Linked DNA regions of Xenopus tropicalis. The protein of the gene in region 2 binds, or shares a complex with, the protein of the main gene of each other region. Links are inferred from orthologs where the notes say so. Each region holds a gene or a part of one and is shown on either strand. Other genes may lie near its edges.

Region 1 (4,546 bases), on a different chromosome or scaffold from region 2:
CCTGGGTATCTGGGGGAGGTACAGGGGTTCCCTGTGTATCTGGGGGGGTACAGGGGGTTCCCTGGGTATCTGGGGGAGGTACAGGGGTTCCCTGGGTATCTGGGGGGGGGGGGGGTACAGGGGTTCCCTGGGTATCTGGGGGAGGTACAGGGGTTCCCTGGGTATCTGGGGAGGTACAGGGGGTTCCCTGGGTATCTGGGGGAGGTACAGGGGGTTCCCTGGGTATCTGGGGGAGGTACAATGGGTTCCCTGGGTATCTGGGGAGGTACAGGGGGTTCCCTGGGTATCTGGGGGAGGTACAGGGGTTCCCTGGGTATCTGGGGGAGGTACAATGGGTTCCCTGGGTATCTGGGGGAGGTACAGGGGGTTCCCTGGGTATCTGGGGGAGGTACAGGGGGTTCCCTGGGTATCTGGGGGAGGTACAATGGGTTCCCTGGGTATCTGGGGGAGGTACAGGGGGTTCCCTGGGTATCTGGGGGAGGTACTTTCTGTGTAGGTGGGAGAGGGGCGGGAATACAGTCACATGGGCAATACATAGCCAATCAGGGGTGGGCTACCTTTTATGGAACACAGGGCAGCTAAGTTGCCCCCGCACTTGCCCATAAGAGACACAGGTATCACATATCAGATAAACAGAAGTTTTATTTATCAGACTAGAGAAACCCTGCCCATTGGGTCCCACGTTGGTCCGTACTGGGGGCGCCAGAGAAACCCTGCCCATTGGGTCCCACGTTGGTCCGTACTGGGGGCGCCAGAGAAACCCTGCCCATTGGGTGCCACGTTGGTCCGTACTGGGGGCGCCAGAGAAACCCTGCCCATTGGGTGCCACGTTGGTCCGTACTGGGGGCGCCAGAGAAACCCTGCCCATTGGGTGCCACGTTGGTCCGTACTGGGGGCGCCAGAGAAACCCTGCCCATTGGGTGCCACGTTGGTCCGTACTGGGGGCGCCGGTGCCCAGAGGAATAATCAGAATTTCAGGCCTTTCAGGGCCAAGTCTCTCTTTGCCTCGCTGATTTGCTGCTGCAGTTCCCGGGCCGCATCCTCGCAGTCGTTGAAGGTTGCCACGCGGTAGCCAATGGTGGCCAGAGAGTAGCAGCCAAACACGACCAGCAGATAAACAGGCAGGGGCCACAGGAGCTGCTGGAGGGGCGGGGGCAGATCCAAGCCCAGCAAGTTAAAGTTCAGGGTAACCCAGGCGGCCCCCAGGACACTCAGTGCCAGTAGCCACTCTGCCAGCTTGGTCATGGTGGGATGTCAGTGCCAGCGCAGGAGCCAACGTGTCCCGGGGTATGTGGCTACCTAAGGGGACATAAGGCAAACGTAACTATGGTAACAGAACTGGAGATCTCCCCTTTATTTATGATGTGATCCGGCATTACAGCATATTGGCCCCTTACCCACAGGGTGAAGTTAGTGCCCCCCAACCAAGCTAATAATGTGGGTACAGCCATGCTGCTCCCCAACACCTTTACACTTAATGCAGCGGGGCCCCTCATCCCCTGCTTATGTAGGACTAGTTAGGCACCCCCAGAGCTCCTTCCCATAATCCCCCAGCACTCCTTCCCATAATCCCCCAGTACCCCTCTCCTTCCATTAATCCCCCAGTACCCCTCTCCTTCCCATAATCCCCCAGTACCCCTCTCCTTCCATTAATCCCCCAGTACCCCTCTCCTTCCCATAATCCCCCAGTACCCCTCTCCTTCCATTAATCCCCCAGTACCCCTCTCCTTCCCATAATCCCCCAGTACCCCTCTCCTTCCCATAATCCCCCAGTACCCCTCTCCTTCCCATAATCCCCCATTACCCCTCTCCTTCCCATAATCCCCCACCACTCCTGCTCCTTCCCATAATCCCCCAGTACCCCTCTCCTTCCCATAATCCCCCAGTACCCCTCTCCTTCCCATAATCCCCCAGCACTCCTTCCCATAATCCCCCAGTACCCCTCTCCTTCCATTAATCCCCCAGTACCCCTCTCCTTCCCATAATCCCCCAGTACCCCTCTCCTTCCCATAATCCCCCATTACCCCTCTCCTTCCCATAATCCCCCAGTACCCCTCTCCTTCCCATAATCCCCCATTACCCCTCTCCTTCCCATAATCCCCCACCACTCCTGCTCCTTCCCATAATCCCCCAGTACCCCTCTCCTTCCCATAATCCCCAGTACCCCTCTCCTTCCCATAATCCCCCAGTACCCCTCTCCTTCCCATAATCCCCCAGTACCCCTCTCCTTCCCATAATCCCCCAGTACCCCTCTCCTTCCCATAATCCCCCAGTACCCCTCTCCTTCCCATAATCCCCCAGTACCCCTCTCCTTCCCATAATCCCCCATTACCCCTCTCCTTCCCATAATCCCCCAGTACCCCTCTCCTTCCCATAATCCCCCAGTACCCCTCTCCTTCCCATAATCCCCCAGTACCCCTCTCCTTCCCATAATCCCCCATTACCCCTCTCCTTCCCATAATCCCCCAGTACCCCTCTCCTTCCCATAATCCCCCATTACCCCTCTCCTTCCCATAATCCCCCACCACTCCTGCTCCTTCCCATAATCCCCCAGTACCCCTCTCCTTCCATTAATCCCCCAGTACCCCTCTCCTTCCCATAATCCCCCATTACCCCTCTCCTTCCCATAATCCCCCATTACCCCTCTCCTTCCCATAATCCCCTAGTACCCCTCTCCTTCCCATAATCCCCCGGTACCGCCAGTCCCTTTATGTTATCCCCCAGTAGCCCCTGCTCCCTCCCATAATCCCTTAGTACCACACTCCCGTTCTATACTCTCCCAGTACTTTCCCCGCTATTCCCATACTATCCCGGTACTTCGGGAACAGTACCTACCTGTTCCCTTTATAAATGTCACTGCTGGCCCCGCCCCTCTACCTCATCACTCAGCGCCGCTCGCAGATACACGGCAGCATTTGGAGAAACGTGCAGGCGAGGATGAATAGGCGTAGCATAACGCGCGGTGCAACATGGGAGATGGAGTTGAAGCTATCTGCCGCCATGTTGCTAGCGGGACAATGCGCTGGGCTAGTTACTGACTCGCGCGGTGCAGCATGGGAGATGCAGTTGAAGCTATCTGCCGCCATGTTGCTAGCGGGACAATGCGCTGGGCTAGTTACTGACTCGCGCGGTGCAGCATGGGAGATGGAGTTGAAGCTATCTGCCGCCATGTTGTTAGCGGGACAACGCGCTGAGCTAGTTAGGGACGCGCGCGGTGCAGCATGGGAGATGGAGTTGAAGCTATCTGCCGCCATGTTGCTAGCGGGACAATGCGCATGCGCTTGGCTAGTTACTGACGCGCGCGGTGCAGTATGGGAGATGGAGCAGAGCCACGCCAGGTAGCGCTGTGCGCATGCGTATGTGAGTGAGAGGGGAAAGGCGCCTGAGAATGCGCGGGAAGCAGAGAGGAAGGCGTTACATTTGACCTGTGAGCCCCGGAACGGAACCCCCACCCACTGTTATCCCCGGTTGGTTATTGTATCTTAGCCTTAAAGCTGGACCCTTCTCTGTTATGTGTCCCTAGTAAAGGTACATCTCGTTACTGGACTGTAAAGTGTGGACTACAACTCCCAGCATCCCCCTCGCAGTAGTGTTGGGAATAGAGTTGCCACCTGGCCGGTATTTTACCTGCCTGCCCAGTAAAAATGATGCACGATGTTATTATAGGGGGGAAAATCTAGGAAGGCCGGTTTGCTTTCATCCTGACTGAGCGTTCAGCAACGGGCAGCGTCTCCTGTATAAACTGGGCCCCTCAGTGGCGCCCTCCCCCGGCCCAATGCTGTATTGTTACAGAGCCGTTAGTAATGGCTACTGTGTGGCACCAGCCTGCCCCTCCCACAACTGACCCGGGCCCCTGTGCCCCCCCCCCCAGGGAAGCCCCTCATGGGCCATTCCAGAGCCTGGATACAGCAGGTGGAACGGCTCATTAGGCAGCCGGGGGGGGGGCTCTGATTGTAAGAATCCCATATCTGTCATTGGGCCCATCCATCAGGCAACGGGACGCGGGGGTGCACCGAGCACTGACAGGGGAGTGAGCCTTGTCCTCTCCCAGGAGCAGGGTGGTCTCACAGCCCCCCCCATACACAGTGAGCCCTTATATATACTGGGGCCCCTGGGTGGTCTCACAGCCCCCCCCCATACACAGTGAGCCCTTATATATACTGGGGCCCCTGGGTGGTCTCACAGCCCCCCCCCATACACAGTGAGCCCTTATATATACTGTGGCCCCTGGGTGGGAATATACAGCCCCCCCCATACACAGTGAGCCCTTATATATACTGGGGCCCCTGGGTGGGAATATACAGCCCCCCATACACAGTGAGCCCTTATATATACTGGGGCCCCTGGGTGGGAATATACAGCCCCCCATACACAGTGAGCCCTTATATATACTGTGGCCCCTGGGTGGGAATATACAGCCCCCATACACAGTGAGCCCTTATATATACTGGGGCCCCTGGGTGGGAATATACAGCCCCCATACACAGTGAGCCCTTATATATACTGTGGCCCCTGGGTGGGAATATACAGCCCCCCCATACACAGT
Region 2 (3,817 bases):
GTATCATAACCTGTGAACAGATATTAACCTGTCACAGTTTCTAGTTAGTCTTAAAGGGATACTGTCATGATTTTTATAGTGTACTTTTTATTTCTAAATGACTAAAATTCTAAATTAGGTTTGTCTGTATAAAGAAAATTTTTCAGCACACAAACAATTTATTCAAAGCGCAATAACACATTTTTTACCATATATATGACACTTATTTTAATATTTGGTGGCATTATGACATCCATTAAACTATAAGATACCTTCTGTGAATTTGTTGTGCTTGAGAACTGTGTACTTACTGACACTTTTGTGAATTACCTCCATATATCCTGGTTGGCTTCTCTAATCCTTGTGCCTTCCTTTACAGCCGGGGGGCTAACTTTGTAACTCAGGTGTTGCTGAGACCAGGTGCCTCTGATTTAACCGGAAGCTTCAGGTATGTAGTTCTTGGTTTTTTTTTCTTTGTTTTTTGTTTTTTTAAACACGAAAGCAATTCTGAAAGCACCAATAACATCAAAATAATATAGTGATGAACTGCTGTAACAATAGGTAAGTCTTATTCCCCCTTAGCTATCTTAACAGCTTTACTTTTAATCTTGGCCAATGCAGAACTGCACTGGCCGGGGTGTATTGGGCGAGTGTTCATTGTTCCTTCTTCGATCTTCACTCATGCACAGTACAGTTAAAAGCCAACTTTAACAAAAAAGCTGTCTTTTTCGCGCAACTGGGCATGTGTCGGCCCCAGGATTCTGAAGAAAGAAGCCAGAAGGAAGAGGAACGCTTGCTCGCATATGGCCCGGGCCTGTGCAGTTTTTTCCTAACAGGAGAAATACTTCCCCCTTGCCTCTGTCCCTATATATTAGGTACCTATATAGTGCTACCAATCCCTATTTCTGTAGGGAAATGAGAGCAGAGCAGGCAGTAACCCCTCCAACACTTTCCCCTGTCTCTGCCCCTATATATTAGGTACCTACCTAGTGCTACCAACCCCTATTTCTGTAGGGAAATGAGAGCAGAGCAGGCAGTAACCCTTCCAACACTTTCCCCTGTCTCTGTCCCTATATATTAGGTACCTATCTAGTGCTACCAATCCCTATTTCTGTAGGGAAATGAGAGCAGAGCAGGCAGTAGCCCTTCCAACACTTTCCCCTTGTCTCTACCCCTAAATAATGGGCAATTACACTTTACAGCATGGACAGTTTATTTCTGTCTGCATTGAACCATTGAACTATATACTGGTGAAATCATTATGCTCTTTCTTAATGGATATATTTAATATCTTTATATATAGACTATTCATGGTGTATAATCAAAAAAATGTTTTAAATAATTTACAGGTTGTATAGAAAAGATGTGCTGCAGAAGCTGGTGGAGAGGTGCGTCTCGAAGGGCTATGTTTTCCAGATGGAGATGATTGTCCGAGCTCGGCAACTGAATTACACCATTGGAGAGGTAAGACCAAGGATAGAACAATTAATTTTGAGCTAAGAAAATATCTGAGATAACTTGAATAATTGCTTGCTTAGGAAGACAATCCCTATGCTGCCATAGTTTTATGGTATCTCTCTGTACAGGCTATGAGCAAACTTAGGGGGCTGTTCCTGCTGAATTGTGCTTAGTACAGGGGAATCCCTATGCTGCTACAGTTTGATGGAATCTTTCTGTACAGGCTATGAGCAGACTTTGGGTGTGATACCTGTTATACCTCTGCTTGTAATTTTTAGTTTCAGTAACCAGTCCCTTTTGGCCTGCCATGGCCCCTGTACCTTTAGGTCACACACCAGGTCATATAAGTTTCGCTTCTTGAATTTGTATAGATTATAATGATGAGTACTGAAAATGATTACCATTTTCATAAAAGCTAAGGATAAGCAAAGGTGCAATAAATATAATTATTTATATTTTCTTGAATCAGATACAAAGAGGAAGAAACCAATGGTATAACTGCCATTTACTGTACCATAAATAGAATGCTCATGATAGAAAATGTTTCTTAAAAAATCACCACCCAGAGGACAAAATGAAAATAAAACAAATTCACTTTTAAAATGTGTATCTAATATTTTAATTCTGATGTAATTATATGTACTAGAATTATTATATAGTATGTAATTATTCATCTATTGGCGTATCAAATGCAAAAGTCAGCTGTTGTTTCTCTGCTCTATGAAAGGGACTGTCCTTTGCACCCCTAACTTCCCCCACCCTCAAAGTCCTTGCCATCTCTCATAATGCCGGGGGTTGTTTCAAATCAGGTCACATGATCTGAGCGCAGGATACAGGAACTGACATGGTTGCCTGGGGCAATAGAGATATGCTAGTAAATATAGGGAGAGGTTGTCTGGCTAGGAAACCTGACAAAAAAGAGGCCCATTGTCTTCATCTTAAGGATTGTAGGTGCACAGTGTCTAGCATTCCAAATACTAACTTTCTGCCTGTGGATGACTGGGCATGCTGGGAGTTGTAGGCAAGCTGCTGAGTAGTAAGCATATGTGTTTTGGGCTTTGGGTAAGGCATATGAAATGAATCCCTTTTTTGGATTTTTTTTTACAGCATAAAGCATTGTACATTTCCAGGGTTAGCAGAGAAAATAGTGTTCTTTTCTCCATGTTTATTTTAAAACTGTATTGTTTCATAATGAAGAAAAATGATATTCTACGCAACTTTCCAATATACATTCATTACATATTTCACTGTTTAAATATCATTGCAGTTGAATGCAGTGTCTGTCTTCCCTTTCTGTTATCTGTTTCTGACCCAGAAGTCCATTCTTCTCCAGGTCTGTTAATCAGCTGCCCTCTGCTCATTCTGGAGTGCAGAGAATAGATAGGCAGACACTGCTTTTAAGGCTAATGTCCCATGAAGAGATTAGTTGCCCGTGATCTCTGCTACCTTGGGCAACTAATCTCTCCAAAATGCCTTTTCACCAGCAACAAAGGGAATAGGCAATGGAAAGGCCTGCGCATCGCTTTGGTTTCCCGTGGAACATTAACATAACAGCAAGAATATTTCTATTTTAGGGCCAAGACACACGGAGCTACTTATTAGCTTGGTGCTATAAGAGACATAAAATTGGGCTGAGGCAAATGTTCAGCCTCAGGGCCAAGGATCTAGAGCTGCTGGGCAAAGCAATTATGTATTTCTTACATATGTTCCTAACCTCCATTTCTGCTACTCTGATCTGCAAGCCCCCTCTGCAGCCCCTTATTTGCATGTCTCCGCCCACAGCAATTAAATTATTTGTAATTATACAGAGCCTAAGGACTATGACACATGGCTTGTAAATGCCAGAAAATACCCTGCCATAGACAAAGAAAACACAGAGACAATTATCAGCATTGTTTATTTTTGTAGCCATGAGAAGTAACTGCTACTAGTAGTTATTAGGGTAAAGACACACGGGGCAATTAGTGAGTCTCGACTAATCTGTGTAGCGAAAATTTCCGGGCGTTTAGTCGCAGTGACTTCTATTTTTTCCTATGGCGGAAAAGTCACTGAGATTAGTTGCCACAATGGACTTTTTAAAAAGTTGCAGCAACTAATCGCCCATTGTGCCTTTGTCCTTAGGGTGAAGACACACAGAACTACTAGAATTTGTACTAAAATAGACAGTACTGTCCTCCTGCAGGCAACTTTGCGCGACTTCTGTAAACAAAGTGATGCAAAGTGCTTTCCACCGGTGACTCCTATTGTTGCTGGTGGAAAGGCATTTCTGAGCGGCTAATCATCCGCGATAGCAGAGATCTATCATGGGCAACTGAACTGCTCCCCGGGTTCTTATCCTAAAACCAATTGACAATGTTTAATTAACATATATTGAACAGTT

The links.
Region 1: dpm1 (region 2) and dpm3 share a complex: the UniProt entries of both Homo sapiens proteins name them as parts of the dolichol-phosphate mannose (DPM) synthase complex. The link is inferred for Xenopus tropicalis from reciprocal best matches to the Homo sapiens genes DPM1 and DPM3.

The regions. Positions count from the first base shown.
Region 1 is NC_030684.2:145,949,564-145,954,109, forward strand, and holds dpm3 (dolichyl-phosphate mannosyltransferase polypeptide 3), read right to left. Parts: upstream 2,871-4,546; 5' UTR 2,828-2,870; intron 1,302-2,827; 5' UTR 1,246-1,301; coding exon 967-1,245; 3' UTR 625-966; downstream 1-624. UniProt on the Homo sapiens protein: Stabilizer subunit of the dolichol-phosphate mannose (DPM) synthase complex; tethers catalytic subunit DPM1 to the endoplasmic reticulum.
Region 2 is NC_030686.2:35,640,540-35,644,356, forward strand, and holds part of dpm1 (dolichol-phosphate mannosyltransferase subunit 1), read left to right. Parts: intron 1-358; coding exon 359-427; intron 428-1,328; coding exon 1,329-1,443; intron 1,444-3,817. UniProt on the Homo sapiens protein: Transfers mannose from GDP-mannose to dolichol monophosphate to form dolichol phosphate mannose (Dol-P-Man) which is the mannosyl donor in pathways leading to N-glycosylation, glycosyl phosphatidylinositol membrane anchoring, and O-mannosylation of proteins; catalytic subunit of the dolichol-phosphate mannose (DPM) synthase complex.